Linked DNA regions of Lepisosteus oculatus. The protein of the gene in region 1 interacts with the protein of each later gene in a pairwise test. Links are inferred from orthologs where the notes say so. Each region holds a gene or a part of one and is shown on either strand. Other genes may lie near its edges. The genes, in order: pdlim7, pak5, enkd1 and gem.

Region 1 (7,796 bases):
AATATGAATAGTTTATTGGCAATAATTGTGAGATTAATGAAACTCAACACTTACACTCTAAATATATTTAGGCCGGATGTGGCTTATCGCCAGGAAACATCAGGATTCTGAAGCACTTCCAAGCAAAGATGTGGAATTGAGTGGAGTTGATGTGCTTTGAATTCGTCTGGCTGGAAGTTTGGAATTAGATCAGATTAATGTTGAGCTTACACAATCAATGGAAGTCAATATGTTATTAGACTTTTAAACCTGTCTCTACATGAATAAACAATCAATGAGCTCACCCTTTAATCACTTCGCTTTAATCATCGTTGTTAGTTATTAACATTTTCCTCTTTCTAATAGAGTCTATACATATTAATCAAAATTATGAATACCGAAGGACTGCTGTTACTTGAAGCATTTTGGTTAATAACCCTGTGGTAGCACATTTCTGGCCTGTTAAAATCCCAAAGCATACGCCAACATGTTTTACATTACAGCCAGGATTACTGAGAGGCGCGTACTTGCCCAAGTTTCGTAAGAAAAAAAGTGTCTTCCCAATATTTACTGACATTTAAAATCATCGAGGCAGGAGCAACTGTAAACGAGCAAAAAGAGAAACGACATACACAACAGAGGGAGCTGTTTAGCAGGGTTGGACTGAAAGTCCTTCTGTTTCACTGGGGCAACGGGAAAGAGCGCTGTTAGGAATGGTAAGACATTAAAGGAGTGTCTGGAGGTAATTCATTCATATAAGCGGGGTAGGTTTGGAAAAGTAGCTGGAACCTCCACCACGCAGAAATTCACGTTTCAACAAATTCAGAACAACACCATCTCACGCCTCCTCTTTTAACTTCAATAACTGGAGGGGCTGGAGATTAATTTTGTATATTTTGTATCGAATACAGAAAGTAATATTCCAATACACGGAAATAATCTAAGGGTGACATTCTTTCAAACACCCGATGTTTTTAGTTCTGGCGATGGTAAAGTGATCTCCTCTTCTGCATTACTCCCGGTAGCCAGGAGATGGAGACAGCACAATACAAAATGTACAAAAAAATGAAGTTCCGCAAACTATTGATCTTGATTTTGTTACAGTCATATAGAGCCCAGAGCCTCTGGGCGTTTTTGTACTGAATTAAGTTGTTCTGAAAATAGTCATGTACATAAATCTACATTAAATACTTTTCATTTCTTTCTTTTAACAAGTACATGAAGGCATACACGAGATATGTCTTATGTTTAGCCCGCTGTTACAGAAATAAAATACCGTATCCTAAAGGTACCCGCTGAGCTATGAATAGGAAACAATAAGCAGATGTTCTAGATGTCTCTAGTCATGTCAAACAGCGAAGCCAAGGTTTGATTTGTCTATTGGCCATGATGAAACCGCTGAATTTTTGTCTCTATTGATTTAACATGTTAGAATGGGTTTTATATAAGATGCTAAAAATTCAACAACACTGCGTTTCAAATTGTGAGTGCATTTAGAATTCAGAAATAGTGAACGACCTTAAGTTCAAGTGTACTCCCAGTTGAAATGATCGGTTTTCTTTTTGAACAGTTTATTGCCCTATACCTACAGGAACTAGCTTGGGGTGAAGATTGTTGAAACTAATTGAATACAACTTATACAAAATAAAGATGCCATTCGTTATAATTTTTTCAGAACACTGGGAATCCTCTCCGTTGCTGCACATTTTAATGTTTTGATTCTAAAAAAAGTAGAAAGTTGAACAATGGTTAATTTTTGTTGCACGGCAGCCGCTATAATCTAGAATGCAGTTCAGTTGCATAGGTTACTCGGAGCCCTGTTTATTTAAACCTATCATTCGCAGGTTAAGTCGCTTCTGTAAAGCGCATCAAGCTAACAGCTCTCTCGTCTACTCTCATCATCTTGATCGTGGGTGTGCAGGAGGGCATTGGGACCCTATAGTTAACCAGGGATGGAAGAATTGACTGCACCCTACAGCTGGATCTGTTGGAGTGCCTTCTAAGGAGCTCGGAAATGTTCAGGTCTCTCACAGAGTGCTTTGGTCCCTAGACCTGAGCCTGGAGCACTTAGCTCTGTTGTTCACGACACTGTTGTTTTTTTATGCAGCATACCTCCACTGGGTCATAAAGAACAGTAATTGTCCATAACCAGGATTTGTACTTGCTTCCATGAAAGGCATCAAAGGATGTTACCATTTATCCCCAAAATTGACAAAAAGGATGACGTCACAATTCTTGGAGAAAGCAACAGCACAGCAGCAATAATTTCAACCAGCGTTTAGATAGCAGCTGTGTGCAAAATTCAGCTGTGGCAGCATTTTCAGTTTCAGTGCAAAGGCAAAAGGCAGTGCGGAATCACACCTATGGCTAAATTTCCCAGAAGTCAATGAATCTACCAGTATGTGTTTGGATTGTGGGAGAAGACTGCAGCACCCGGAGGGGGAACATACAAACTCCACACAGATAGCACCCCAGGTCTGGAATTGAACACAGGACTCTAGTGTGAAAAGCCAGCAATAACAAACACTATGCCACAATGCTGCCCTAAATATTAAGAATTATGCAAACAGTTTTCCTACAACACTACGTTTCTAGCATGGAATAACAATTGTTCCTTTGGACGCACCAAGTGGAGAACTATATAGTGTAGTGATTCCTGAGATTTTTTTTAAATTCTACATTGTTTGTCTTTTCTTGGCAGCCATGCTTAAATCTACATAAACATTTCCTTTTCAGAGAGCCGGCTTGTTCCATGCTTCAGGTTAGTGATAATTAGGTAGATTCATTCCTGCAGCTTTTTAGATCTGTGATCTCCTTATATGGGCACTTTCTAGCGCACAGAAAAAGAACTCCGCTAGACCTGTATTGAATAGTTTTCCTGTCTGATAAAGCATTCTTCAGATCAAAGACCTGTGTTCAGCACATAAACAAAGATCAAGCAATTCCTGGTTCAAAGAAACATTTCAAAATCTTGATTTGAAATAAATCTGGGAATTCCAAAGTGTGACTTGATTTTTCTTGGGTTTTATTTTCTGCGGTTCGTTCGTTCGGAACCGATTCGTTCCAGATTTTAACATGTTTTTGGCCCAAGGAAGAATCTGATTGTTTCTGTTGCTTTTTCATTAGTGAAGCTGAAATGTGTTTGATGTTTTGTTGTAGCAAACAGCTCATTAATTTATTTTATATCAAAGAGGCAGTGGTGTTAGTAAATACAGTACACTATAGATTGATTTGAACTCTGATAATATTAGGTATTTTAGTTGATGAACATGAGGAGGAAATAATCTGGCAAAAAATGGATGCTCAATTTTATTTTCTAGGTACATTTTTTAAGAACAAAAAAAAAACAGACTTCACTGGAGTTTAACTCAAGGCAGCAAAAGAAAACATAGAGCTGCATTTCACCCAAAGTAGTCTTCTGTTCACTGTCGGATAACTGACAAATGTTTGTTACCTGGGAGGGCTTTCTGGCAAGTGATGAGGAAAGCTGTATCTAAAAAAAGCACGCTTCGGAATTTTTATAGGAATGATTCTGTATGCATAAAATACATAAGCACCTTTAAAAGAAGTTACATAATGAACTAGTGGCAGAGGATAGTGATTAAGGTTGTGGATTCATACTGTAACTAGCTTCTCCCTGCGCACACTGGTATTGTATCACAAGAACATAACAAAGGAAAAGAAAGGCGGCCATTCAACCAGTCTAACTTGCTTGGCTGCTGGTTGGAGGATCACATCCGACTGCTTTGTGAAATAAGCCAGGGTCTTCGTCGGCTTCAGTGACATGAACTTTCCAATAATTCCTACCGGTGTCCTTATATTCAAATACTCCCCTCTTGCTTCTGAAGACGTCTGTTGGGTTGGCTTTGTCGTGGTCTTTGGGGGCTCAAAATTTGTGAATCACATTGTTCCTTCTTCTCTGTTCAAGACTAAGAAGATTCAGTTCCTTCAGCCTGTCAGGGAGGGACAGTTCCCTGAACCACAGGAATGTGCGTGGTTGCTCTTTTCTGGACTGATTCCAGAGCACCGTATTGTCTTTTGTATTGCAGTGACTGAAGTATTGTGGTCAACGCTGCTCTTGCCAAACAGCAGTGGAGTTGAATTGGTTAGGGTGTCATGTTATTATACAGAAATGATGGAAGATCAAGACTAACAGTAATACATCATTTATTTATATAGCGCCTTTCCAAACCCCAGGGTGCTGTACATAGTGATAAAGAAAAGCACAATAAAAAGTAAAAGAGAAAAGTAAACAAGAGCATTCGGGTTCGTACAGAATAAACGTGGGTCAACGTGGTTTGGGTTTGAAGACATTCAAAGAATTTTAAATTTACTGTAAATTGTAAATGTAAAAACGTTCTGTATTGTTAGCAAAAAACCCAAAACAAACATTTGCTAACACTACAGAAATCAACTGGGATCCCGAAAGCTAAAATAAAATGCCAACATGACATTTCAGCTGGGTTCAGGGACATCATAAAACCAGCACTCTCAAGTCGATGATTAGCATGGGGGGTCATGGAAAAGTCGAGCGCTGCAAATTATACACCACTTTTATTCCGCAGCTGGGATTCGTCGAGCAAAACGATCTAGGTGCTTAGTTGTAAAGACGAGCTGGCTGCAGGTCAGACGTGTGTGTTGAGCGGCGAGATGGGAGAGCGCAGCACCGCGCAGCGCATCGCAGTCCCATGCCAGCTTGTACCTGTAGATGGAGCGCGGAGAATTCGTGGCAGCGCTCCCAATGACGTCACCCGGGCTGTAGGTTTTTCCTTGTCTATAAAAGGAAACAGAAGGCAAGTTTACGGCTGCTCGTGGATACAGTTGGACTGGCTTACAAGGAAAACTTAGCACATAGTAATTAACTTTTTTAAAGTGCAAAGATAAAAAAAAAAGATCGTTAACGATGTCCGCCAGCCAGAAAGAGGCTCCGGAGGTAACTGCCATATAACACGATTGCTTTTGCGAGTTACACAATATTTGTGTTCTGTTCTCATAAAAAACGTTTACATGGCTCTGGTAATATCTATACAGTAAAAGTTTTTTAATGGAAGTTTTGTTTGGCGTTGGCGTTTGGAGGCGGAGAAGAGGGAGTGGTCCACTCTTTTCCTAATTCAACTTTTTGTAAATTGTTCTTTTAAATTTTATAGGGCAGGGTGCTCAGAGATTGAATCCTTCTGCACAGACGAGATGTGTTTTCATAAGGACGTTATCTGCGGTTTTTTTGCGTTTAGACCTAAGTAATCAAACGCGATCTTTGCAAGTCTGAGCAACGCTGCGTGGATAATTTGGGTGGGTCGAGATTTGTGATCACGAAAGCTTCTTGAGAGTTTCCTTTTGTAAGCTGGCTGTGAATCCGTTCGTGTAAAGGCGAATCAAGATCGTGCACTTAGCATTTTTTTCAAGTGCTAAAAGAGCGGATATTTCATGTTCGTGGATGTTAAGTTATGCTGCGTTTTTTTTAAGTTGGTGCACACATTGTCCCAAAATAAACGCACTGATATCATTTTGAATATTATTCAAATAGTTTTAATGTGACAAGAAAAGTGTCAATTTCTGATTGCATGCCAGCAAGCAAACGTTATGTATTAATCGAGATCTCCTCTATCGTTTCAAGAATTGCTTAGCTATTTGCTTGGGTCAACATTTAACCTGAAATGATCAAACACTCGTCAGGTCACCGATATTATTTGTTAATGTCTTTTTTTGGGGGGGGCTGTAAGTGATGTGGTTTTGTTTAGTATCTATATTGCTGTGGTTAAGATGTATGAAAAGGAATAGATGGTACTGTATATAATTGTCACCCCCCTACCAAAAAAAGTGCATTAGTGTTTTTATGGTGACGTCGATCAAAAATAAAGATCTAAAGTCCTACAGATTCAATATATGAAACGTGACAACACTTTCATTGTTGTCCGAACCGAGCAATGTAAAACTTCACTAACGAACTTGGAATTGCATTATCACCTTAGGACAGGGCAGGTGTTTTTTTAGCGTTAGTGCCCTCTGAAAAGAGAATCTCTTTCTGTATTGTATAGATCAGCGTTATTTTGTGTAATGCTTTATCTTGGAAAGATATTGCGAATTCTGTGAATGGCATTCTGTTCTGAAATAGATCTTGGTATATGCAGGTATGCTAACCTGATTTTGGTCATTTATCCGCCTCACAGTTTTTTAACGTACCCATTTATACAGTGAGGTATTTTACTGGTGTAATTTGAGGGGTGTACTTTGCTGATGTTTACTTTATAAGTACAGTAGTGCCTCACCTAGCCTTGAAATCCATATACATTATATTGCTGTAAACACAGAGCATCAACCTCTACTCCATACAGCTGCCTGTACAGTTTTCATTTGTAATTTTCAGACCAGAGGTTTTTTTTTATTATATCCTAAAAATGTAGGAATGTAGAATTTATTCTTGGATATATGGGAGGTCCCTTCTACCTCGTAAACATCGCTGAATGCCTTGTCCTCAGTGGTCAAAGCTCTTCTCACATTTTTGGTTCTACATTACTGAGGTTAAGTGAAAATCAATGCGTTTCCCTGAGCCCGACAGCTAATCAGATCTCTGTAACATGGTCAAGAAACACTACCATGCTACATGCCAATAGTGTATTTTACAAACCTTCACTCTCCTGACCTACCCTCGCTCACAGTTTTCTGAGTTTGACACATATGAGGAAAGGTTTTCATGGTTTAACACACTAGCATAGTGACTGCAGAAGTGTGTCAGAAAAGTCAGCTGGAGTTGCGGTGAGTATTGTAGGTTTTAAGGCTCAGCTACAGAATTTCTCTCGTGTAGAGGGCAGTTCCAATGAGTTTTTGATCTGGACCATGTACTGTGTTGTGGGTGTGTGTGCATGTTGGTGTTCAGCTGGTGGTACTCTTGGCATTAGTTGCACCATTCTGTAGTGAGAAGACGAAAATTGCTTTTCATATAACGGCTTACTGCTTATAAAAATATAAGATGTAATTGTGCTAAATCCTTTGGATGTCTTTTTTTTTTTTGTCTGACCTTTATGAAGCCTTTGTTGAAAGAGGGTTTTGCCATGTGATATATATATATACTACTGTTGAATTAGCCATTTATATTTGAAAGGAATTGTGTACATTGGACTGTGTTATTTGACACTCATGCTAGGAATGTTGCAGGGTATTGTTCTTCCATCTGCATAACATTGATCAGTTAAGACCCTTGTTCTACCCGTCTGATGCTGAAATATTGAAACTCGCCTTTATTTGATCAGACTACCGTAATTCCTTAAATATGGGGATGTTTGTATGATATTCTAAAAGGGCTCGTTATATCCAGAACTTTGTGGCTTGTCTGCTTTTTGAAAGTATTCTACTGTACGTCAATGCTAACTCCTGTCCCCTGTGAATTGAACTTGCTGCAGTCTGCTGATTTGGGCTTTGCCAACGTATTCTAATGAAGATCAGGATCGACACAAAGGCTAACTTGAGTCTTTTTCTTGTGTAGTATCACATCTGTGTGAAGTTTCAAATGCAAATTTATATGTACATTTTGCAGGATCAAGTAATTGAAGAAAACGGGGTCAGAGAGCAGTCCTAGTTTTTCAAGGAACGTTGCAAATCTCAAGCACAACCTCTTGAACGTTCGGCTGTATATCAGTTGAATTTGTAGGGATAATAGGAGCTGTTTTAAGGAGGCACATGCTAATGAAATCAATTTATATATTAATTTCCTAAATACTTAGTCGGAGATTGTCTGGGACCTGTAAGAAAACTTTGTAAGCACATTCTGGGTTCAGCTTCAGAACACAATCAGCCAGGTAAGAAAACCAGGACAGAAAATC
Region 2 (7,682 bases), on another chromosome or scaffold:
TATTCTTAGAAAAGGATAAAATGTTATAACTTTTTATGAAGTACAGAATATAAGCTTATTAATGTTATATTAAGAACAAGCTCATTAAAACCAGAATCCATGTACAGTAAGTTACCAAGTTAAAGACTTTGATGCATAAACTATTTATGCATAATTAAAGTATTTATGATGAATGTGGAAGGTTGTGTACTTTTGTCCAACTGAGCAATCTTGCTTTTATAAAATATACCAACTTTTTAATGTTTAATGATTAACATGCTGTAATACACAGTTTAAAATTATTAAAAGTCTAAAGAGTATACAACTTAAATTCTTAATTGGAAAAAGATTGTCCCCAAGCAACAACCATCCAGCAGCCATATCACCCTGCAACTCACAACTGGCAACCCACTGAAGCTAAGCAGGTGTGAGCCTGGTCAGTACCTCGATAGGAGACCTCCTGGGAAAAACTAAGGTTGCTGCTGGAAGAGGTGTTAGTGGGGCCAACAGGGGGCGCTCACCCTGCGGTCCATGTGGGTCCTAATGCCCCAGTAAAGTGACAGGGACACTATACTGTAAACAGGCGCCGTCCTTCGGATGAGACTTAAAACCGAGGTCCTAACTCTGTGTGGTCATTAAAAATCCCAGGGCGTTTCTCAAAAAGAGTAGGGGTGTAACCCCAGCGTCCTGGCCAAAAATTTCCCATTGGCCCTTACCAAACATGGCCTCCTAATAATCCCCATCTATGAACTGGCTTCATCACTGCTCTCCTCCCCACTAATAGCTGATGTGTAGTGAGCGTTCTGGCGCACTATGGCTGCTGTTGCATCATCCAGATGGATGCTGCACATTGGTGGTGGTGGAAGGGAGTCCCCATTACCTGTAAAGCGCTTTGAGTGGAGTGTCCAGAAAAGCTATATAAGTGTAAGCAATTATTATTATTATTATTATTTGACATGTGACAGCTCAAATACTGTACATGAGAGGTTAAGCTTTATTAGCTCCACCTGGTGGTTTTACAAGGTTCTTCCGGATACTGTTATCATATTTCAAGTATCAAGTATCAAGTATCATGCAGTATGATGCGGTATGATGCGATATATTGCTCTACACCCACCGTGTTTTAACGCAGAGTACCTCTCACAAGATGTATTATAAGATGCATCAAATAAGATGCACGACCTTTTCACTTAAGCATAAGGAAATGTGCAGCTGAGCTAGGGAGATAGCTAGTTAGCAAACTTTGTATGTTTGAGATGCAAGCAAAGGAAATAAAGAACCAAGCCAAAAATTTAAATACGACAGGTACAGCATTAAAATATAAATGGTGACTATCATACGGTACATATCATGCTGTTGCAAATCATTTAATTGTCCAGAATATACAATGGAAAATGTCAGGGCCAACTGTAAAGATCCATATTTTTGGATGGTGATGTAATTCTCTCCTCTTTCCCTTTTCTATCTCATTTTTTGTTGAATTTGTATTCTGGTTTATTAACTGAAGCTTCTTACATAATTTGTTCGTGTTGAATTTGTTGATAATAATTGTAAATGAAACCCCTGCTGAAGTACATTTAAAGCATTCTTTCCATAAAAGACTGGTCTATAGCGCAATAAAGCATTGATCTTCACCCCACTATTTCTGTACATTAAGCTTCGTGCTTTAGATGAATTAGTAGGCCTTGCTCTTTTCTTTTTAAAGCATGTTTCTTCAATACAGTGGATGCTTAATATATTTAAATTTATGATAGTAGTGAAATGGTGAAGTGGTAAATCAGTTTTCACGGCTTTATTAGCTGCTGGTTAAGTACATCTGGCAGATGCTGCCTAGCTCCCAGCTGTTCTGAAGTTTCTTTTTTAAAAGTAGACCATGAACTACTGTACATACAGCATTACTTTTGTGTTTCTTTTTATAATAACAATTTATATTATTTTATTGAGAGATTAGATACCTTTCTTCTATGGTATATTAGGGTAATTTGTTATGTGGATCAACATTTATATTAAAACATTTTTTTTACAATATTCTGTTTTTCCCTCCAAATGCAGAAGACAATGGTGTTGATTTCATGCAATTATGTTTTAAAAGAGCAACTATTTGTATTTTTACTGTAGCACATTCCATTTTCTGGTTTGATGTATATTTTGTTCTTTTTATTTGTAATTATATTACTAAAATATTCAGCAAGAGTAGCCGATTTAGTCTTAAAACTGAAAAATTATAAATGGTGTGATAAAGCCTATCACTGATAAAGCCTATCAATGAGCAATATTCTTTTATCATTATCTGGAGGCAAGGTCTAAGATTTTTTTAATGTAATATTAGCAGTCAACTGAACAGTATATGATATCAAATTAAGAACAATCAGTTATGAATTTTGTAGTACACGTGTCAAGTAAGAAATTACATATCAAGAAATGCTTTAAAAAATGTAAATGACAGAATGGATTTTGGCATATTTGTTTTTAGTTACAGCTTTAGGCAGGCTGTCTTACTCATCCAGGAACATAGGACTGTGTCTTAAAGGGTCTTTACGGAATCATTCAGATAGTGCTGTAGAGTTTTCTGTGGTCAATTCACTCTATATAAAGAGGTGGTTCGTGTTTGCTATTGTAATGGAGTAGCAGATTCTTTGACATTTCCTTATCATTTTGAGGTTAATGGCATAAAAGAATTTAGAGCAGGGATTTCATATTTGTTTGCTACATTAGGACAGGTTTGATGTAATTGTACTTCAAGATGGATATTTTATCTAAATACAAGGCACCTTACTTTATATTTGAATTGTTTTGTATGTTTATGTTTATTATAAAACAAAATACCTCCTGTTAAAATGCAGTCAACAGCCATTGCTTCTTAACTTCTTAACTTACTTAATAATGTCACTTTTAAAAAAATGTAATTATTGGGCTCTGAGTATGGTATGTTTAGTGATCAACATCACCTTAAAACTTTTTGGAGAAAGTAATAACACAGTAGCTGTGATAAGTCAGAAGCAGCTTGGCTTGTTTTCCATTTGGCACAGTTTTTGTAGAGATTTAAACAAGGAAATGGAATTGGCAAAAAGCAGGGTTAAAAGAGACTTTGTGTGAGGAAAAACACAATGCAGGATACTAGATGCTAGATGTCAGCTATATAAAAACAGCAAAAGTTCTACTTTACAACTATTGCTATTTCTCTTTGGCAACAGCTCCCTGTACAAATCAATCACTCATTTCTATTCTAAGAAACAATATAAATTACTCAATTTATCCTGAACCACATAACAATATTTCTCCAATAAAGCATTTATATGGCCCTTCTATTATATTGAAAAATCTCATTTTGACATAAACAAAAACAGAAGGTTTAATGTCAGTGAGACCATTTGTAGTTCAGTCACTGAGGTTGCTTGAGGTTGCTTTAGATTTTGAATGAGGTGAAGTGGTGTACAGGTTTCGGGTCTTTTTTTTCATAACTATTTAGTGCAAAAAATATTCCTGTTCTAACTAGATGTGTGAACATAAATGGGAGTGTTGAGAATGAAAAGAGCACTGACCACAGCACATGTATAAGTAAGACCGATGCATCACCAAGGGCAGCTGCTTTGTATGTGGGCTTTTTAGGCTCAGACAAAGAAATTTAATCCCAGCTGTTAGCTTAGACTGAAAAAACTAAATGGATGAGATAAATGGGCTTGGCAGGTTGAATCAGCCCAGCTGGGCATATGTTTGCAATCCCTGGTTAGAGAGAAAGTAATACAGGCTTTGCATGTGGGTTCAATAGAGAGACCTGCTGAAGATGTGGTTGATTTTTCTTTTCCATAAATAGGTACAGAATACAGGAGAAGGTATCTGATTATTGGGGTCGGTCTTTTCACATACTGTATGTTAGACCAAAGATGAACAATCTTATGTTCTGTTCTTTCTTTATTCTATTACATGTGCATCACCCTTGAGATTTTCTTTGGGTCCTTCCATTCTAGTTCAAATGTCTTATTTCTGTGTAGATTTTTAGCTAACTGGAGTCCATCATTCAGATATGACCTTCTGCAGGTTGTATTATTTTAGTATGCAAAGCTATACTATGTTTTAGGGCTATACCATCTTTTAATGTCATACCCTATCAAAATAATTCAATGTTATAATATAGGTGTGAGAGAATGGGTTGTGATTTACATCATTGTTGATTTTAATAAGATTTTAATAAGAGTCATGTTTGAAGCAAGATTTTGAGTTGGTGAAAAAGAGTTAAAGTCAATTTGTCCGGCCTTCAGGCAAAACACTGTGCCCACTAGAGAGTTACATTAGGTTAAATCCATTAACAATAAAATCCTTACAGGGTTATTGACTGAAGCAGGTGCACTGCTCTTCTGCTACAATTAGTAATGAATTATACTGTCATCATGAGGTCATGCTAATTTATGTTCTCGCAGCCAACAAGCCAAATACTGTATTTTCTGCTGTATACACTACAGTATATTGTGTTGACTGAAAGATCCGTGTAAACCAAGTTGTGACGGATTTAAGTTGCAGTGGGAACTTTTTCATTCAAGAGAAATGGTCAGTGGGAATGACTGAAGGCCAAAACTGATGGGAGAAAAGTCCTTGTGTAATTCTGCAGTGCACAGTGGGTATTCTGCCCACTGGTTCATGACTCACAGTCAGATCTGCAATGGAAAGGCAACAGCTTACTTTGTCTGTTATAATTTGCTAGTGTCAGCAGCAGTGGATAAATTGCCATTGGAAGTTATCAGACTGTGCAAGAGCAAGTGCTACAATATAAAGCTTTACTCTCTTGATATCTGTGACGAATCCCTAGGAATGTTTATTTTATGTTTTGTGATTAATTCAAGAGCACAGTTCTCATTGCCTTTGAAAATACTGTGACTGGTTCACCTGAGTCAGCGCTCTCTGTTGAAGTGGTTACATAAATGACAGAATGAATCATGTTCCAGGTAAGAACCTTCTGAGTGTTGTTAATTCAGCATATTGCACATTTTGGTATATTGATAGATTTGTGTTTTTATATCACCAAAACAACAACAAAACATATTGGTATCCCCTGTTTAATATTTAACTAATAGATATTTTGCTTCTCACCACAGAGGAAAATCCTAACATTAGCAACTTTTACTTTAAGAATGTAATACTAGAATATGTTTCACAACTAGAATATACTATACTATACAGTACAACATAGAGAGCAACTGCGTCTATTTAGATATTTGTTTTGCAGATTCATGCTCTAATTGATTAAATTTCAAAGTTACAACTTCTGAATACTTTTAAAATTTTCAGAACCAAGTTAATGTTTATTGTCATGTGTACCTTAGTACAATGCAATGCTAATATTAGAATAGAATAAAATAATAGAAATTGTGATTTAGTAGAATATAGCTGTGGTCCACACTGTTCATTGGTATTTGGTACTATTTTAGCTTTATTTGGTTTACCTATTTTTATAACACTGCATATATAGCTATTTCACCTCTTTTAAATGCATTTGCAATTATTGTACTTGAGAGATTAAAATTCCCAGCACTTGCTATTTGGTGATCTCTTCCTCTCTATGAGCTGCTCATGAATAATTGATGCTAAAACTCTTGGAAGTTTAGTATTTTGCATTCCAAAAGATATGCTACCATCTGGCATGTTAAATTATATCATTTAAATTATTTGTACTTATATTTAGAAATGTACTGTTGGCATAGAAAGTCAGCATACAGAAACATTCACTATGGCTGTTTAGTACATTTTTGAGGCATGTTATAAATTGTTGTTGAAGCTTTTGTCATTTTCTAAACGTGCCCTCTTAAGACCATTTCATAAACCAACATTTGCTTATATGTTCCAATTATATAGTTCTTTAAAGAAAAATCAGAAATAAGTCATAACTTATAAAACTTTTCACTACTCATGTCAGAAACATGTGATTTGCTATATTTATCACAACTGGAATCAGGATAGAATAGCTGTTGTTCATTCAATAGCTTTAATGACATATTACATAAAAAATTGTAATTCCTGCTACCAATGCTAATAGTAATAAATTAAATGAAAACAATATGTAATCTTGAATTCGTTTTACCCCTCCTATATATATAATCAGCAGCTGTCAATTAAGTCAGCTCAGGTTGCTCTCACCCTTCTACCAGAATAGCTGTGATAAGGACTCTGCAGTTGAGTGAGCATCAGCTGCTGGAGTAATGATGCTTCTGCTGGCAACAGTATAAACTTGCAAGTTCCTGGCAAGTGACAAGTCATGTTGTGCTGCCACATGAGCTAACAGAAGTTCACTCAATCCTGGGAGTCACTACTTGAGGAATTGTAGGTCGCAATCTGCTAATGACATAGCCCAATTCAGAAAACTAATCTGCAAATAGTAACATCAAATTAGGACTCTGATACATCTTTAAGGGTATAGGCACTTGAGTGGCTCAGCTGGTAATTTTAAATTTAGCTGATCCAATGTTACTTCTCAGTCATTTGTACAAAGTTGAGATCTTAAAATGAAAACAAATGCAAAAGCAAACAAATTATAAGCAGTGTTCGGGAGTGTTCAGTGCTCAAGGTAATATATTTGTGTTATTTATGTTATGATGCTGTCTTCTAGAGTGCGAAATCATGATAAAATTAATTTTAAGTTAAGTTTTTTGTACTGTGTGTACTAAACTATTAGTAATATATTACTTTCTTGCTCACGTCATGTCTTATGCCATTAGTTTTACGTAAATCTAATGTGCAACAATTTTGGCAAAGGAACACAAAATGAGAGTAATTTTGTAATCAATTTTTAAAAGCAGAGGTTATTTAGGAAGTATTTTGTTATTCTCTACATTTTGTTAATATTCATAAAATTGATTTAATTTGGTAAGCAAATCTACACCATTGCCTTGTTTATAAGGTCAAGGCTAAAATGTATTTACATAATTTGCTAATTCAATCAAATTTGTTTATTCACATAATGTTACGGGTTTATTCTCCCTTTAAGTAATAAAATGTTACTATATTGCTGACATTGTAGTAACTAACCAATTGAACCGGGTGTGTTGTAAATTCTGAGACATACAAGACTGTTCTAGCCAAGTTTCTGGTTTATTCTTAGCACAGTCTGACAGTGATAGTCAGATACTGAGCCAGCTGACTCTGGAAATGATCCTGATTTACATACTATTTGAAGAACGGCACTGCATGAGATTAATTCAAAGACTGTTTATTACTGTTACTAGTACTAGTTACTGTATGCATTGACTTTCAGGTTGGCTTTATGTAACAGACATTCAGATACAGATAATTGTGAGAGACACATTTTATTTGTGGAAGAAAATTATTGACTGAAATAAAACTCCACAATGTTTATCTACCAAACTATTGAGAAGTTACTACCATTCTTAGTAAGTCTTACTGGCAACATAATCCTTAATTAGAAAGTAAACCAGCTATACCAGTGAAGTCACTTGAGACCAACATTACAACCAACCAACATGGGCAATGACTTGTTCCTCTAAGGAGCATAGTGTTACTTCATATCCAGTTCTACTGAAAAATTGATAGAATATTTCTATATTTAACTTTTATAAAGGCAGCTTTTTCTTGTATAATGTACAGTATAGATAGTGTACTATTTATAGATAGTGTATAGATTATATCACCATTTGATACATAAAGAATTACCTTCTGAAATGAACTTGTCTAGTACTCTTGGAAATGTTAATATT
Region 3 (7,398 bases), on another chromosome or scaffold:
AGGACGCAAGGTGCACCCTAACCGCACCCTCCCTGTCTCTGTGCGAGCAAGTGTGCAGTGTTAAAACGCCCGGAACATGAACCGTGTCCCGTACTTCCACACCCGGGGAATCGTACTAGACGTGAAGTCGGATCTGGCGTCGTCCACGCTCCAGGGCACGCGCGAGCACTGTTCCGTGGGTACAAGCGAATGTGGAAGCTTCCATTGTGTGTTTCGATGAACCGTAACACTAAACGTTTTTTTTTCTTCTTTTTCTGAAAACGTACACGAGAAACCCCGATCAGTAAAACGAAATCACGCCTTTACGGAGTTGCGTCGATGTGGACTCAAGGATCGCTGGCAGTGTCCAGCGGCGAGACGGAGCTCTGCTCTGTGGAAACGTGCGAGGATTCATGCTGTACTGTAGGCGTTAGTTCACTCCCAGCTATACAGGGTCGTGTCTGCTTCACAAGCCTTTAATGTTTCACTTTCCCTTCCCAGCACAAAAAAACACAGCGTTATAGGCATTTATATTTCAAAGTGTTCCCCCAGGATAAGAGAGAATTAAGGCTTCAACCCCGTATCATTAAATATGCAATTTGTCATATACCCACTTAAATAAATACTGTACGTATTTGTACAACACCGAACTATATCTGAATTTTAATTAGCAGGCAACAAGTGCCCCTAAATGCATGCTAGGCACATATCGAACTACCATGTATTATTCGTTTTAGATTGTGTGGTTAAACAATAGCAGCAGCAGCTTATTAAACACGTGTAATAATATATCAGTATTATTCATTAATGAAAAAAACACTACAGAATATAAACTTCCCCAACCGATTGATATGTAGCAAAGCTACAGCAATGTCTTGTATAATTGTAGCTATAATGATATCACGAATCGGATCACCTACAGCTTCTGTGACCCCCAACGCACTGCTGTCATTCAGAAACCAACCCTCCTCCCTTCAAGAAGCGTAATGATACAACTTAAGTTTAAAAAAAAAAACAAGAGAAAGAACACCCTTCCCCTGCACTGAGGTTAATAAAGGTTAGCTGTAACGCGTCAGGACAGACCCACAAACTTCCACGGCAGATTTTGAAAGTGAAATCCGACGCACCACGCAACCAGCACGTAGGCCGGCGAGACTCGCTTAGACGAGCACAAAGGCCCCGGCGGTCAAGCCTCTTCCTCCTCGGGGCTCGCACCCCGGCCGGCGCTCACCGGCCCTGTGTCCCGCTCTCCCCCACCCTGTTGCCGGTGCTGTGGCCCAGGGCCAGCTCCGGGGCCGGCCGGTGTCTTACCGTTATTCAGTTGCGGGATGTGAGGCGCGGCGCGCAGCAGATCTGTCAGTGTGTGAGAGAGGAGGGCACTGTGAAGGAGAAACCCAGCCACAGAAACTGAGCAGGCGCGACACACGCCGGCTCTCTCTCTCTCTCACACACACACACTTCGAGCTCGGAGGAGAGGGTAAGGGACGCTGGGAAAATAGGGAGCAGCGTAGCAGACAAGGCGTCTGACAAACGAGGCCAGTATGCTGACAGACACACCTGCAAATACACACTCAGACGGGCAAAACGTTTTAAGAGTTTGAGGGCAGAATCCCTTCAGAGATTTCATCCGTAGGTGGGATTCATGCAGGAATCCATAATGATTTGGGCTTCAGTGAGCGGCTTGTCTGCATAAACTTTTCAGCTTGTCTTCCCCAGATAAACTCGTGATATCCCCCTCTCTCTCTGCCTGCCTGCCTGAAGCCGCCATCAGCCCCACTACACGGCTGATTGGGGTAATTACCTCCTCCCATCGGATTGAGGGAGACATTTAGGGGGGGGGCAGTCTGTTGAAACCCATAGCACGATTTAACCAGCGCACTGGGGGGTAGCACCCATCATCTTTCATGAGCAAGCAGCCAGGACTTATTTTATATGTTATACTCATGTGAAGGACAGCGCAACCAACGGGTACACAGTGTCTTCTGACACTATTACTGAGACACAGGGATCCATGCACAGTGGAACTGTGGAAAGTCCTGTGAAAGTACAGTGGAACTACCGCAGAAAAAATAGGTTTCAGTGAGAATCTGTATAAAGTAGTCAGACTACTGCAGAATAAAACGGGTTACAAAGGGGATCTGTGTGAAGTACAGTCGAACTACTGCAGAAAAACCAGTTTACAGCGAGGGGCTACGGCACCGTACTGATAATGTTACGCTAAACGTTGCACTAACATCAAAACAATTCGCATCCACTTTGCGTCTGGGCAGGGGCAACATTGACAGTGACCTGTTTCTGGACTGGACAGCAAACTGCTACATCTGGTTCTTCCTGTTTACAACCGTTTTTTGTGCAATATATGCCAGGGGCTTGTGCAATACGTTTATATTTATATTTATATTGTGCAATTCAATTTTTGTGAACTTTTGTGTCTTGTATGTTCTGGACTGTGAGTAACTCTTCTTGGTGCACTGCTCACTGTACTGATTGTATTGCGTGTGTTGTATCATTCGTTACACTGTTGCTGTGTTGTCTGCGTTAAGCTGCTGTTGCACTGCGATGTCCCTCACGGGATCAATGAGGTATCTATCCAAAACGTGTTATAATAAGGGTTAGTGTCAAAGGTACCGGAAAGTTGTGAAGTTGTGAAACGAGGTTAAAGTAAGAGTGTAGCAGAGTAAGAGCCTCGTGTTACAAGGTGAGGTTGATTTCAGGATACAATACGAGATTAGAGTAACATTTACAGCTTAATATACCGTTTAGCGACGGAGAGCCTCATAACGAGTAGACCCACCCACGATGAAATACAGCACCACTATAGTCACACTAAGAGACTATAATACATGCACAGCTTTATTGTTATTCACTTATTTTCATAATTTCTTTCCTTACATTTTTAAAATGGTCATTTTCGAAGCTCTTTCCGTAGACACGGTACTTAGATCCGGTACACGGTAAGAGATTAGCACATTGAACATTGAAGGCGCACACAGAACCGGTTGGACTGCAGCGCCTCAAGCTCCGTCTCAAGGATATGCCAAGCACGCCTACAATGGCGTGACGTACTACGTCACCAGATGTCGTGCTGTTGCCATGGTGAGGCTTGCTCCGCTTGGGAGATGAAGCGGGGTGATGTCATCAAATTGCGTTGCAGAAGAAGACGGTTTTTCTGTTGAGTTTAAGGATAAAGAAACGGTAATGCAGTAAAGCTTATTTTGATTTAAATAATTAACGAAAAAGCGCTGTTTGGCTAAAAAGCGTTTACAAATAGGGAGCGATTCCTCTTTATATTGATTCTGACTCCTGTTGTTTTGCTAATTTTATGTCGCCAAAAAGTTAACATGTTCTGGCCGCAAGTTCGGTAAAATGTCACGCGTTTTCTGAGAGGCGTGTATTTTAAAACGTTATAGATTAATGACCACTGATATGATGGCTGTTAACCTTTATGTGCAGTGACAGAGCCTCGCATCATTTTTAAATTTCATTCGTCGATGTCTGTGTCTTGTCCACAGTCAACCGGCTCTCCTGTCCGGTTGCTCGCTGGTCGTCTCCAAATGATACCGTGCCGGTTGCAGTGTGTTTCGGCGGTTTCACTTTCGTGCACAAGAAACGTGAAAAAAATCGTCTGTGGGGGTGTGCGGAACAGGACTGATGTCAATTTCACCTTTTAAATCCCACATCTCTTTTCAAAGCAATTGCAATTCTTACTGATAACAAATATCACGTATCGTATTTGCTGCGGTCTCCCATGACTCATTCTGGAGTCAGTATTGTACTGTTACTGTTCTGAGTCCACCTGGGTGAGTTTATAGTTGTTCGTGTCTAAGACAGAAGAGAGTTATAAACTGCGAGTCTCGCATACAGGTATAAACTGAATTATACGACTGTTCCTATTATAACTATTACTGCTACTAAAATGATTATGTATCATTAGTAAGGGTGGTAACATCCATTTAAAAACAATTACTGTCAGAATTAAAGTATAACGTTAGAATACGCCTGAGGTATAAAACATAAGAACATAAAGTTTACAAACTACAGGAGGTCACCCCAGACTCTCTCCCTATCTGTGTGTCTCATGGAGAGCAAGCTGGGGTATGCAAAAAGATAATTTCTAATGCAAGAAATTGTAGAGGGTTAATAAAGTGATGTTATTATTATTAATAATGTGGCCTGTTTGGTAGTGAGTGACGGATTGATCCAAGGATCTCATCCAGCTGTTTATTGAAAGAAGGTATCGGTTTCAACCACATGGCTGAGCAGCTTGTTCCACTCTCCCACCACCCTTTGCGTAAAGTGTGTCCTGTGCTCAGCTTGAAATCCATAATACTACTTTATAAACCTTCAGTAATCCAGCCTTAAAAATGAAACGCATCCAGAACAGTCTCTACAATGTTTTCTGTGTCTTTAGATTTTTTTAGCCGGTATGATTTGACACCACATTTAGTCTGATTTAGTACAACATGCCTGATGTGTTATCTTGTCTGTTACTTGAATATTTTCTTTTTATAGCTGTGCCCCGACTGGCACTTCAGCGTGGGAGTATGTCTGAGCCAGTCGAAGCATGGCCACGTGTGTCCGGGGATATGTGTGTGTCAGATTGTCACTGTGTGACCCTGAACCTGGGGTCTCTCCACTATACAGGGCAGCAGCCAGGGTTTGTGGCATCCCCCACTTACTTAAATTAGTGCATTTATCTTCAAAGGTTAGCCATTCACAGTATTATGTGGAAATCGGGCATGTTGTAAATATTAACACATTACTTTCAGGGCTCAGAAGGACTTGTGTTTTGTCTGTATGATAGCAGAAAGAAGAATTGCAGGCCCAAGTCTCAGAAAGATCTCCTGGCACTGCTCGTGCCTTAAGCTCGGGAATGATGCAGGAATTGTAGCTGGGGATTTCAGGCCATGCCCTGATAGTGGATTTTCTCTGGCTTTGTCCCGAGCAGTGGGACGATGTGTGAAGGCCCATCACGGATCTCTGGACCGATCCCTCCCGATCCCACCCTCTTCCCTGAGTTTTACAGACGTCCGGCCTCTGGTAAGACACTATCTAGTCCAGTCTTGGGGACTTGAGTGACCGTCTACTCACATCGGATTCGCCTGAGTCTGTGTGCTTCCCTAGTTCATGTGTGGCCGTCCCATAATTCATCAGTCATTAAACATCTTTCTGTGCCTCCATCCTCCTCCTCTTCCTCAACCTCTTTGTCTTGACTTAGCTCACTCACATTGGAATATGCAGTAATTGGTTATTACACCTGTACTTATGCGAACTGTGGTTATAATCTCTGTGTTTCTCTTGCTCTCTGTTGACAGCGCGAGGCAGGCTAGAGGGGAATGACCTGAAGTTGACCTTTCTGTCCGGCCCTCTAGCCCCTGACCCTTCGCTGCACCCTGGCTGCTACAGCGCACGCCCCCCTCCTCCCCCCCGAGTGCACCCCAACGCCATGCACATCCTCGAGAGGGGTCAGCGAGGGGTCGTTGGAAATCTGCTGCAGCTGGAAGGGGTCTCTCTGCACCCAGATCCCCCAAAACACAGTAAATAAACTCCCTCCCTCTGATATCCTGTTTATCAGATCCGACACACTTGTCAAAGTGTTGGAAGCCCCGATTCGTGTGAATGGTCAGCGTGAGGCTTGAGGAGCAGGAGAAGTATTCCCATCACGATCCCTAACCCCCTAACCAGAACAATGCCCAGATCTCACTTCCTCTTGGAAATACAGGTTTACTGATATGCTGGCCCTACAAATCTTAATCATCATCGCAAATAAAAATGATCTTGCTGGAAGAATGGGATGTGATTGGGCTGGAAATATTTCCTGATATTTCCTGAGGAATATGTGCTGCAGGCTGTCCTTGCTTTTCAGAATGGGATGCCGTATAATCGGGTGGGGTTTTCCAATATTTTGATTATTGAGTGTATATATTGTTATAGAAGGAGTTAGGGAAACAAGTAAGCGTCTAATGCAAATTGTGCAGTACGAGTTAATAGCAGGTGCCACAGTAGCGCAGTGGTTCTTCCAGGGTTCATGTGGGCTTCCTCTGGGTGCTCTGGTTTCCTCATGCTGCATGCAAAGACATGCTGGCGAGTTTGCCTGGCCCTGGTGTGAGTGTGTGCGTGTCTGTGTATGTGTGCCCTGCGATGGACTGGCGTCCTGCCCAGGGTGTATCTTGCCTCCATAGAAAATGGAAGAATGGATGGATGAGTTAATAGCAGAGTCTGTGTAAAAACGAATTGTCATCTGGTACGGTTTTATATTGGAATTGTGCTGTCTTAATCATTTCTGTTTCAAAACAATTGGAGGGCCGGCGTCGCACTGCAATGAGTGTTTCAGGCCGGGTATAGAAGTGCTTCGTCCTAAATCCCGAGCCCACGTGTGCGTTCTGTGGTGTCTTCAGAGAAGGAGCCGCGGGATCACGGCAAGGAGAACGTGCGGCGACTGCGCGAGATCCAGCGCCGCTGCAGGGAGCGAGAGGCCGAGAAAGAGGGCGCCCGGCCTGTGCCCGTCAAGGCGCTGTGGAGGTCCCCAAAATACGAGGCAGTGCCGTCCAAGGTCATGACCCAGCTGCAGGTGAGGCTGGTGGTGCAGGACAGCACTGTTGGTTAACAGAAGCTTGGGGGCTCGGAAACTCCCAGAGAAACTCCCTGCTCCAGGGACTGCTCAGCTCAATACGGCGGCGCTCTGTACCGGCCACTTAACAGGGCAACGATTCTTCTGTCACTCTCTGCGAAATGGACATTTCACATTTCATCCCCGTCTTTCCCAGGAGACGACGCCCCCCAAGAGGTCCGAGTGCCAGAACTTCCTGAAGGCTCACTCGCGCTGTGGAAGTGCAGGAGCCCCACGGCGCAGCCCCTCCCCTGGGCCCCCCACCCTTGACGCGGATGCTGAGGTTAGGGAGGGGGAGGCAGGGTCTGGAGAACAGAGAGGAGGGCCGCGGAGTGTCTTCTTTTTCTGTGTATCTATCCCTTTGTGTGCAGGGGTCTGCTTCACAGTCGGATCCACTCCTGGTTTTACCAGCTGCAGGCTCTTGTACAAACTGAAGCAGATAAAGCAAATATGTGCATTTTGTAAATGATTTTACTTATGTCGAATTTCAGTTATGATCAGCTGCACATTCTGCATTTCCGATGAGAGAGGAATGTGCTCACTCACTGGTCTTGGCCTCCTGGTGCACTGTGAGCTACATAGTGTTTTTCTGGAGGGGTGATTGCAGGGGCACTACATTTCTCACTGCCAGCCCCCAGGTTTCTGGGAGGACCCAGAGATCACAGATTCTTTGCAAGCTGCGGTTACCGGCCGAATGCCAGCAGCACCTAGCCAACTGTGAGTTCCGGTCTCACTTGGCTTATGACAGACTAGGCCGGAGAAGACTGCGAGATGAGGCTCAGCTGTGCCTCCAGCAGGTGCTTGTAATG
Region 4 (7,320 bases), on another chromosome or scaffold:
GGATGGGTCACCTCTGTGAGTGCCTACTGTATCTCTAACGGGTAAAAAATATGATAGAATATTATCTAATAGAAAGCAGCCATCTGTAATATCTTTCAAATATGGCTCTCCAGAGACTTGTTAAAACCATTTAAATATGTTTTTTCACAGATATTTCAATGGCAAATAAACATTTGGGTTCATTTGTCTTTTTTGTTAAAATACGATGTTACAGGGCTTACACGCTATAACAGTTCAGGTCCCGGTTGTTGTAGTATATAACATGTTTATGCATATAAAATAGTACCGAAGATGCCAAAAGTGATTCTTCAGTTTCAATTTCCACAATTAACAATAACAATCCACTTAACAGTAAGGAAGAAAACCTACACAACCCCCATCCTTAGACCTACTTAAAGACTCATAGATTCCCATCGCGGTCCTACTGACACAATACTATTTAATTGCCAAGGTCTTCAACTTCTCTGACTGCACCTGAATTTACTGTCCATTGTGGAGAATGGTAGCCTAATGGAAACCTTGATATATTTTCTCTGGGGGAGAGACCACTGTAAAAGTGACTGAAATAAGATAACCGCAAATCGATAGTCTGCGGAGTTGAGACATCACCTGTCATTTCACAGATCTCCTTTCACTGTGCTGCAGGAACATACTGTAGTAGTTTTAGGGCTGCAATTTCAAAAACCGATTAAGTACAGGAAAATATTTATTATAAAATCTAGTATCATAACAGCTGGTTGGCAGCAGTTGGTGTAGTGTACAGTATGTATGCAGTACATGGTGTATTTCATTCAGAGACTGTAGTGTTGATTCTGGGGATACGATCCACGCTGGGCAGACACTTGGCTAAGGCTCGCATGCTACACAAAATTCAAATTTAAGGTGGGGAATAACTGAGATGAGCTTGAAATTATGTGAATTTTTTCACTGTCTTGTTCCCCACTAGGAAAAAAAGGTGTTTTTTTATAATTTTGCATTGGTTTTTGTAGTTAAACTAAACCTGTATTTTTTTTTTCTTTTAATGGAAGCACTGGTTACAATTTCCTTTCTGAAGCACAGCACCTTTTCCATACCTCCACCTTGGTGCTACGGTAGCTTATAGGTTTCCTCATATTCGAATTGTCTCTTATTTCAGCTGTGGCCTCCAGCCATGGCCTATTTTAAAAGTCTCCGCCGGTTTAATCTGATTTATCAGTGCCAGGAAATAGGCTGAAGCTTGTGCCACACGAGGTGCTGAATGCATTCTGACAGCATGCATGGATTTTATTTTCTCTTGACAGCGTTTGAAAAATGCATTCGCTTTTTTAACTTGTATCACCTTTCGCTAAGAAGCTTCAAAGAGAGGCAAGTGTTAATTGCAGTTCATTTGTCCACAGCAATCGATGAGCTCTCCCCTGGGTGTGGCTGTTTGTTAGGATACAATAAATGATTCGGCTGGGTATTACTCTCATTTAATCTATGATATCCCATATTCCATTTTCAATAATTCATTGCTGGTCATGTTTTCCAATGAAAAGCCACTTACACTAGCAGCTTAAATGAATGTTAATAAAGCAACGTAAACGATGATCTGTCAGTCTATGTAGTAGCCAGTGGTGAGTTGTTAATTTTACTTTCATTCCTTTCATATTTCCTTTCATATTTGTTTTTATTTTAATGCACATTATTCAGAAAAGTCTTCCATTTCTGGATGACATCTGTATGTTTTGTCACGAGTATAGTTTCAGCCATGCAGACACTTCAGAGTTTATCCTTGTACCTTCAACCCCAAAATGTACAGTGACAGCTGACAAATTCCCAAAAAATAATTTCAAAAACTGCTTTTCAGCAAGATGGAGGTAAAAAACACTAGATCTGTTGTTTCAAAACATACTAGATAATTTAAAAGAGAACTGTCATGAATACTGTTGAAACACAATTCATTGTTCTTAATCTAAACATTTCTCCCCGTTTGACAGCATGCAACTGTTAACAAAATAATGAACTGACCTCCAGGTTAAGATGTTTTTTGGACCAGATTCAGCATAACCCAAAGTGACCTACCCGCTAGTGGAAATAGCTTAATGTATCATCTATTTAGAAAGTCTTTTAATACATGTCTTATTCAACTCAATCTCAAACTAATCACCTTAATTAACATTTAAGGACCTTAATATAACCAGCTTACTCTAGAGTGATCTCTTGATTATGGTTCCAGACAGAAATAGCCAAAGATGACCAACCCCTTTGCAGTGAGGTATTTGTGATTAAGTAATTGGCACACTGGCTAAATGAAAAATCTTAAAACATTATGTCATTATGGGACAACAAAAGTAAAATACATCAAAAGAAATATATTCTAAATCATTTAGTCATTTTTAAAATGTAATTTCAGGCACATTGTGTATTTTTAAAAATGATAAAGACGAAGACATTTTTCTCTTGCCATCCTTGTGTTTGAAAAAAGAGACTCGGGGTAACTGAAGTCACACCTTTACCAAGTTATATTTAAAAAAGGCAAACTAAAAATAAAACCAATATGATAAACATGATCACATTTTACCAAAAAAATGCATTGACAAAACCTTACATACAACTATTATTTGTCTCTACCAACAATACAAGAAATGTTCGTATAAATAGAAATAAAGCCTGATGGACTTCTCTCACAAAATAAATTTGACACAAAATATATTCAGTTCTTTCAGCTTGTGAGTGTAAGATACTGTAGATCTGTACTTCAGACTGATTCCACATAAGCAATGGCTTTTTTAAAACACGGTGGCCAAACTTGTACAAGATCTTCGTACAAGGTCTTGCTAATTGTTCCATTTTAACATGGCATTCCTTGATTGAACTATATACCCTATGTGTCTTCTGTACGTCCTTTGTATTGCTTCCGCACACTGGCTAATGGAAAGCAATGTGTCAACCTAAATGCTTACGTTTACTTTGATAGGTACATTTTTCAACATCCTCCCCAGGAGCTGCAGTCACTGGGTCTGCACCTGCTCGTTCTGTCTGCTCGTTGGACGAAGATAATCACAGGGTATAGTCCCTTGCTCCTTCAGAGTCCCCAGCTCCTGTACATGTAAGGTACGTATCTCTCTTGCAGTGTTTCTGCACTGTAGGAGAATAGAATCTCCCACGACCACCACTGTTTGCCTTGTGCTTTCCCGGATGCTTCTGGGATAGGCGCTGACTCCCCCTACAACCCTGTCTTGGATAAAGCGATCCGAAGTAGGATGGATGGCTGGGTGGTAGTTAAGTTAGTGTAACGCATACGGCCGACATTGCAGGTCGTGCGAGACCGGCTTACCAGCGCGGTGACGTTACCACCCTTCCCTGTGAAAAGCAGGGACCGCAGCTGTCGGGCTGAGGGGAGATTTCCCTTTGCCTCAACTGCCTGGGTCCCTGTTGAGTCATGCCGGCGGCCCGGGTTCGAGTCCCCAGCGGTGGGGGGCTGACCCGAGGCGGCAGCGGCGAGGGCGCATACCCACGTTAACCCCGAGAGTGCTACATTAACATGGCGTGCATAACTTAAGAGAAGTTAAGTCAGTATATAATTAATTTGGTCACACTTTAGTTTAGGGGCTGTGGAATTACACGTTAGAAACGAATAGTCCAGCAGTTAATACATTTTCTAGTGACTCTGGATTGAAGAGGTAGAAACAGATGGATGGATGAATGGTTAGGACCGTATAATTGCCTAAACCTGTCAATAACACATGCGGTTATTTAGTCGTAAATTGCATCTCATACTTTATCCTGGGATCTTTTGCCTTGAACTTCCAAATCCTAACTGCCCTGTTTCCAGGTACTGGAGTTGAGTAAATAAATCTGGTGATGTGATATTATGGCTCAGTGTTAGGAAATATTGTCCTGTTCTTCATCCTGTGACACATATGTGACAAACTCTATAAGATTGTCTTACAGCTTATTAGCACTAAAGCTACTTCTATTTCTGCATGAAAATGAGTGTTTTGTCAGTGGTATTCTAGCTCGGATTTATGTATGGCCTACAGCGACAAGCACTGGGAATGGATATTTATTTGGGCCAATCCGAATGTGAATCTAAAAAAAAATTCCATAGATAATGGAATGTCGTCGTGCTTTCGAGCGATAGACGTTTGTCGTATCGTAGCCACCCTTTCAAGTAACAGCAACAGTATGTTCTAGGCGAAATTCCAAGTTCATCCACAAGACTAGAGGAAACCCTCTCCGTCTTTGTTTCACTGTTGTCTGGCTGGTAAGCGAAGGGAGAATGACGTCACGGAAAAGCCCTCGTCTTTGACCCCTACTACTATATATAAACCCAAAGAGCTGAAAGCACATTAGTGGGAAGCAGAGAATCTACTGGGATTTACAGCCCAGCGCACAGATCACGAAACCCAGGCAGAAACACCGTCGAACAATCAAGTGGTTCTGGAGTTTGCGCTGCTCCTAACTGGATAATGTAAGATATGTTTTTATTTTGGGGGAAAAAAGTAAAGGAAACTACAATGCAATTATTATTCTATTCTGCATGTTTTGTTCCAGTATTTTGTATTGCATCTTCGAGTTAATAACCGGGTTTAGATGCTTAAAGAACTTTGTATTTGGGAAATCTTACAGCTTAGACACAGTTTTAATTATACGTTTTTATTGCAGCGATCATGGTTATTTTTTGTTTTATAGACATTCTTATTGTTATTCTCTAACAGTGAGTAATTTTGATACATTTTTAATTAATAAAAATCAAGGCTTCTGAGGGGTGCGTGCACGTCTCCTTGTTTTTAAGATTTAAAGTTGCAAAGAGATGACATGGCTGTAGAAGGTAAATTCAGTGATCAACAATGTGGAGTGTTATTTTTTCAAAGACATTACATCTTTTTTTTTTACGGGAAAAAATGCATTAAGAAACTCTTTTATTCCATATTTTTGTAATTCCGTTGCTTTCCCCCCGTGCTTCAGAAAGATGACCCTTCACGTAACCATGAGACACAGCAGTGGCTGTCTGCAGCCCCAGCAGCACCGCTGGAGTATCTCCACCGACGGCAAGCATCTCCTCAGCAAGAGCTCGGCGCTTCAATCCGGCGTCTGCCGCTCCAAGTCCTACACCAGCGCCGGCGAGTCGTGCAGGGGCAGCTGGTCGTCGGACTCCTCGGACTCGGTCATCTCCACCGACTCCTGCGCCAGCCTGTTCAGAGTGGTGCTCATCGGCGAGGACGGAGTCGGGAAGTCGGCGCTCGCCGGCATTTTCACGGGCGCCCAGGACAGCATGGACAGCGACTGCGACCTGAGCGGAGGTCATTGTTTTTATCAGCGTTGTTTTCCCGTGCAATGGGGCTTGTATCTTTAAACGGGTGCGGGGTTATTAAATTATTCACGTTCGTTTTAAACAAGCCAGTCGATCTTATATGTGAACAACACCCTATTATTTTATTTTTGACATATTTTTTGTGTGTGAAGGAGATTAAATATTTTACAGCTTTATTCGTATAACTTGAACGCACGGACCCACGTAAACCGTTTTAACGTCTTTTTGTTATTTATAGAAGACACATATGAACAAACGCTGACAGTGGACGGCGAATGTGCGACAATCATTTTATTGGACACCTGGGACACTCAGGTAAGATAATAAAGCATAGCATATAACATAAAATACGATATATCCTACCCATGCTATTTTCACTGTGTGATGTGCAGGTGTTTTTTTTAAGCATTGTTATTTGCATCTTGCCCATTTTATATACCGTCTATTTTATCATGCATAAATGAGTTATTTTCCTTTGTATCGTTTTTACAAGAGTAGTATGCGAAAGCGAAAGCTTCAGTTTTGGCCATTTTAAAACTTTAAAAACAAACCATTAAATCCATGTTTTCTGATCGCTCGGAGTCTTGCTGTTTCTGAACGTCTGTGCTGTGCTTCTGCAGGACAGGGGCAGCTGGAGTCAGGAACAGTGCATGCAGGTGGGAGACGCGTACCTCATCGTGTACTCAATTACCGACCGCTCCAGCTTCGAGAGAGCTTCTGAGCTGCGAATCCAGCTGCGCAGAGCGAGGCAGATGGAAGACATCCCCATCATTTTAGTGGGCAACAAGAGCGACCTTGTGCGGTGCAGAGAGGTCTCAGTGGCAGGTAAGGTCTCTCCCTGTAACATTTTGAAATCCCCTAAAGGGGGTTGATGTTTTTTTAGAAGGAGCGTGTAATCACAGCAAGACCCTGTGAACTTTAATAAATACCTCTGATGCCGTAAGATGATAAAATAACGTCATACGATAAATTTATGGAGCAATATGACAGAACGAGACCCAAACTTAACGCAGAGGTTTTATTTTGTTTTCGACGGTGAGCGCTTGTGGCGGAGAGGAGAAATGAGATTTGCACCCAAACTAGCTTTTGCAAAAAAAAAAACAGATCAATAATAGTCTTTAGGAGTCCCATAAGAGTAAAAACTGAAATCTCTATGTATTCTCTGTATGGAAATGTCACATACTGGTGCCATATGCCTGCATACACATTTTAATAATTAAAATCTGGCTAAATAAGAAGATAACTTTGAAATGTAATTATTCAACAGAACACTAAGCAATAGGTAATTTGGTTCTGTGCTGCAGAGAACTGATAATGAATGATTAAGACAGTATAATTACTGTACCTAAAGCTGTACATAAATCATAACCTGCATCTCATACCTAATAGTTATATCAGGAGTTGAAAGTGTTTGGTTCTGTTTTATTCTTGTTGAAGGTGACACTTACATTTACTTGGATATTTTTTTGCAGAGGGCAGAGCCTGCGCAGTAGTATTCGACTGTAAGTTCATCGAGACTTCGGCGGCAGTGCAGCACAATGTCCGAGAGATGTTCGAAGGGATCGTGCGACAGGTTCGGCTTAGGAGGGACAGTAAGGAGGCCAACGAGAGGCGGATGGCTCGCAATAAGAGGAGGGAGAGTCTTCCCAGGAAAGCCAAGAGATTCCTGGACAGAATGGTGGCTAAGAACAATAAGAACATGGCTTACAGGCTGAAATCCAAGTCTTGCCACGATCTTTCAGTGTTATAAACCCACTGGCGGGCTTTCCATCTCAAGGACTTTATAAGTCACAAGTCAATCTACATTAGATTGCGTTACAAAACTCCAGAACAGAGGGTGTGACAGATCAGCTCTGATCTACCGCTCCTGTTCCTCTGTCTGTAACAGATGGAAGAATTGCTTGGAGATATTCGTTCACGTACAAGAGGGTATTGAGTAACAGGTAATAGAGAGACTGACTCTAGAGGGCTGCAGAGAGTCCTCCTGGTCTGTTTTCTTTATTAAAATTAAAATGAAAATAACTACAGCATTAGAGTAATTA

What was found.
Region 2: the proteins of pdlim7 (region 1) and pak5 interact in a two-hybrid assay, tested with the Homo sapiens proteins (2 studies listed by BioGRID and IntAct). The two-hybrid records come from large-scale screens. The link is inferred for Lepisosteus oculatus from reciprocal best matches to the Homo sapiens genes PDLIM7 and PAK5.
Region 3: the proteins of pdlim7 (region 1) and enkd1 interact in binary tests that used the Homo sapiens proteins (3 or more experiments, as listed by UniProt). The two-hybrid records come from large-scale screens. The link is inferred for Lepisosteus oculatus from reciprocal best matches to the Homo sapiens genes PDLIM7 and ENKD1.
Region 4: the proteins of pdlim7 (region 1) and gem interact in binary tests that used the Homo sapiens proteins (3 or more experiments, as listed by UniProt). The two-hybrid records come from large-scale screens. The link is inferred for Lepisosteus oculatus from reciprocal best matches to the Homo sapiens genes PDLIM7 and GEM.

The regions. Positions count from the first base shown.
Region 1 is NC_090706.1:37,404,140-37,411,935, forward strand, and holds the start of pdlim7 (PDZ and LIM domain protein 7), read left to right. Parts: upstream 1-4,778; 5' UTR 4,779-4,882; coding exon 4,883-4,912; intron 4,913-7,796. UniProt on the Homo sapiens protein: May function as a scaffold on which the coordinated assembly of proteins can occur. May play a role as an adapter that, via its PDZ domain, localizes LIM-binding proteins to actin filaments of both skeletal muscle and nonmuscle tissues.
Region 2 is NC_090697.1:41,985,828-41,993,509, reverse strand, and holds the start of pak5 (serine/threonine-protein kinase PAK 5), read left to right. Parts: upstream 1-4,674; 5' UTR 4,675-4,903; coding exon 4,904-4,919; intron 4,920-7,682.
Region 3 is NC_090697.1:65,809,064-65,816,461, reverse strand, and holds the start of enkd1 (enkurin domain-containing protein 1), read left to right. Parts: upstream 1-4,395; 5' UTR 4,396-4,442; coding exon 4,443-4,636; intron 4,637-4,927; coding exon 4,928-5,019; intron 5,020-5,294; coding exon 5,295-5,516; intron 5,517-6,377; coding exon 6,378-6,550; intron 6,551-6,746; coding exon 6,747-6,872; intron 6,873-7,398. UniProt on the Homo sapiens protein: Microtubule-binding protein which regulates microtubule organization and stability. Promotes the stability of astral microtubules and facilitates the proper orientation of the mitotic spindle.
Region 4 is NC_090705.1:7,493,791-7,501,110, reverse strand, and holds the start of gem (GTP-binding protein GEM), read left to right. Parts: upstream 1-4,298; 5' UTR 4,299-4,435; intron 4,436-4,932; 5' UTR 4,933-4,936; coding exon 4,937-5,267; intron 5,268-5,516; coding exon 5,517-5,593; intron 5,594-5,898; coding exon 5,899-6,103; intron 6,104-6,750; coding exon 6,751-7,028; 3' UTR 7,029-7,320. UniProt on the Homo sapiens protein: Could be a regulatory protein, possibly participating in receptor-mediated signal transduction at the plasma membrane. Has guanine nucleotide-binding activity but undetectable intrinsic GTPase activity.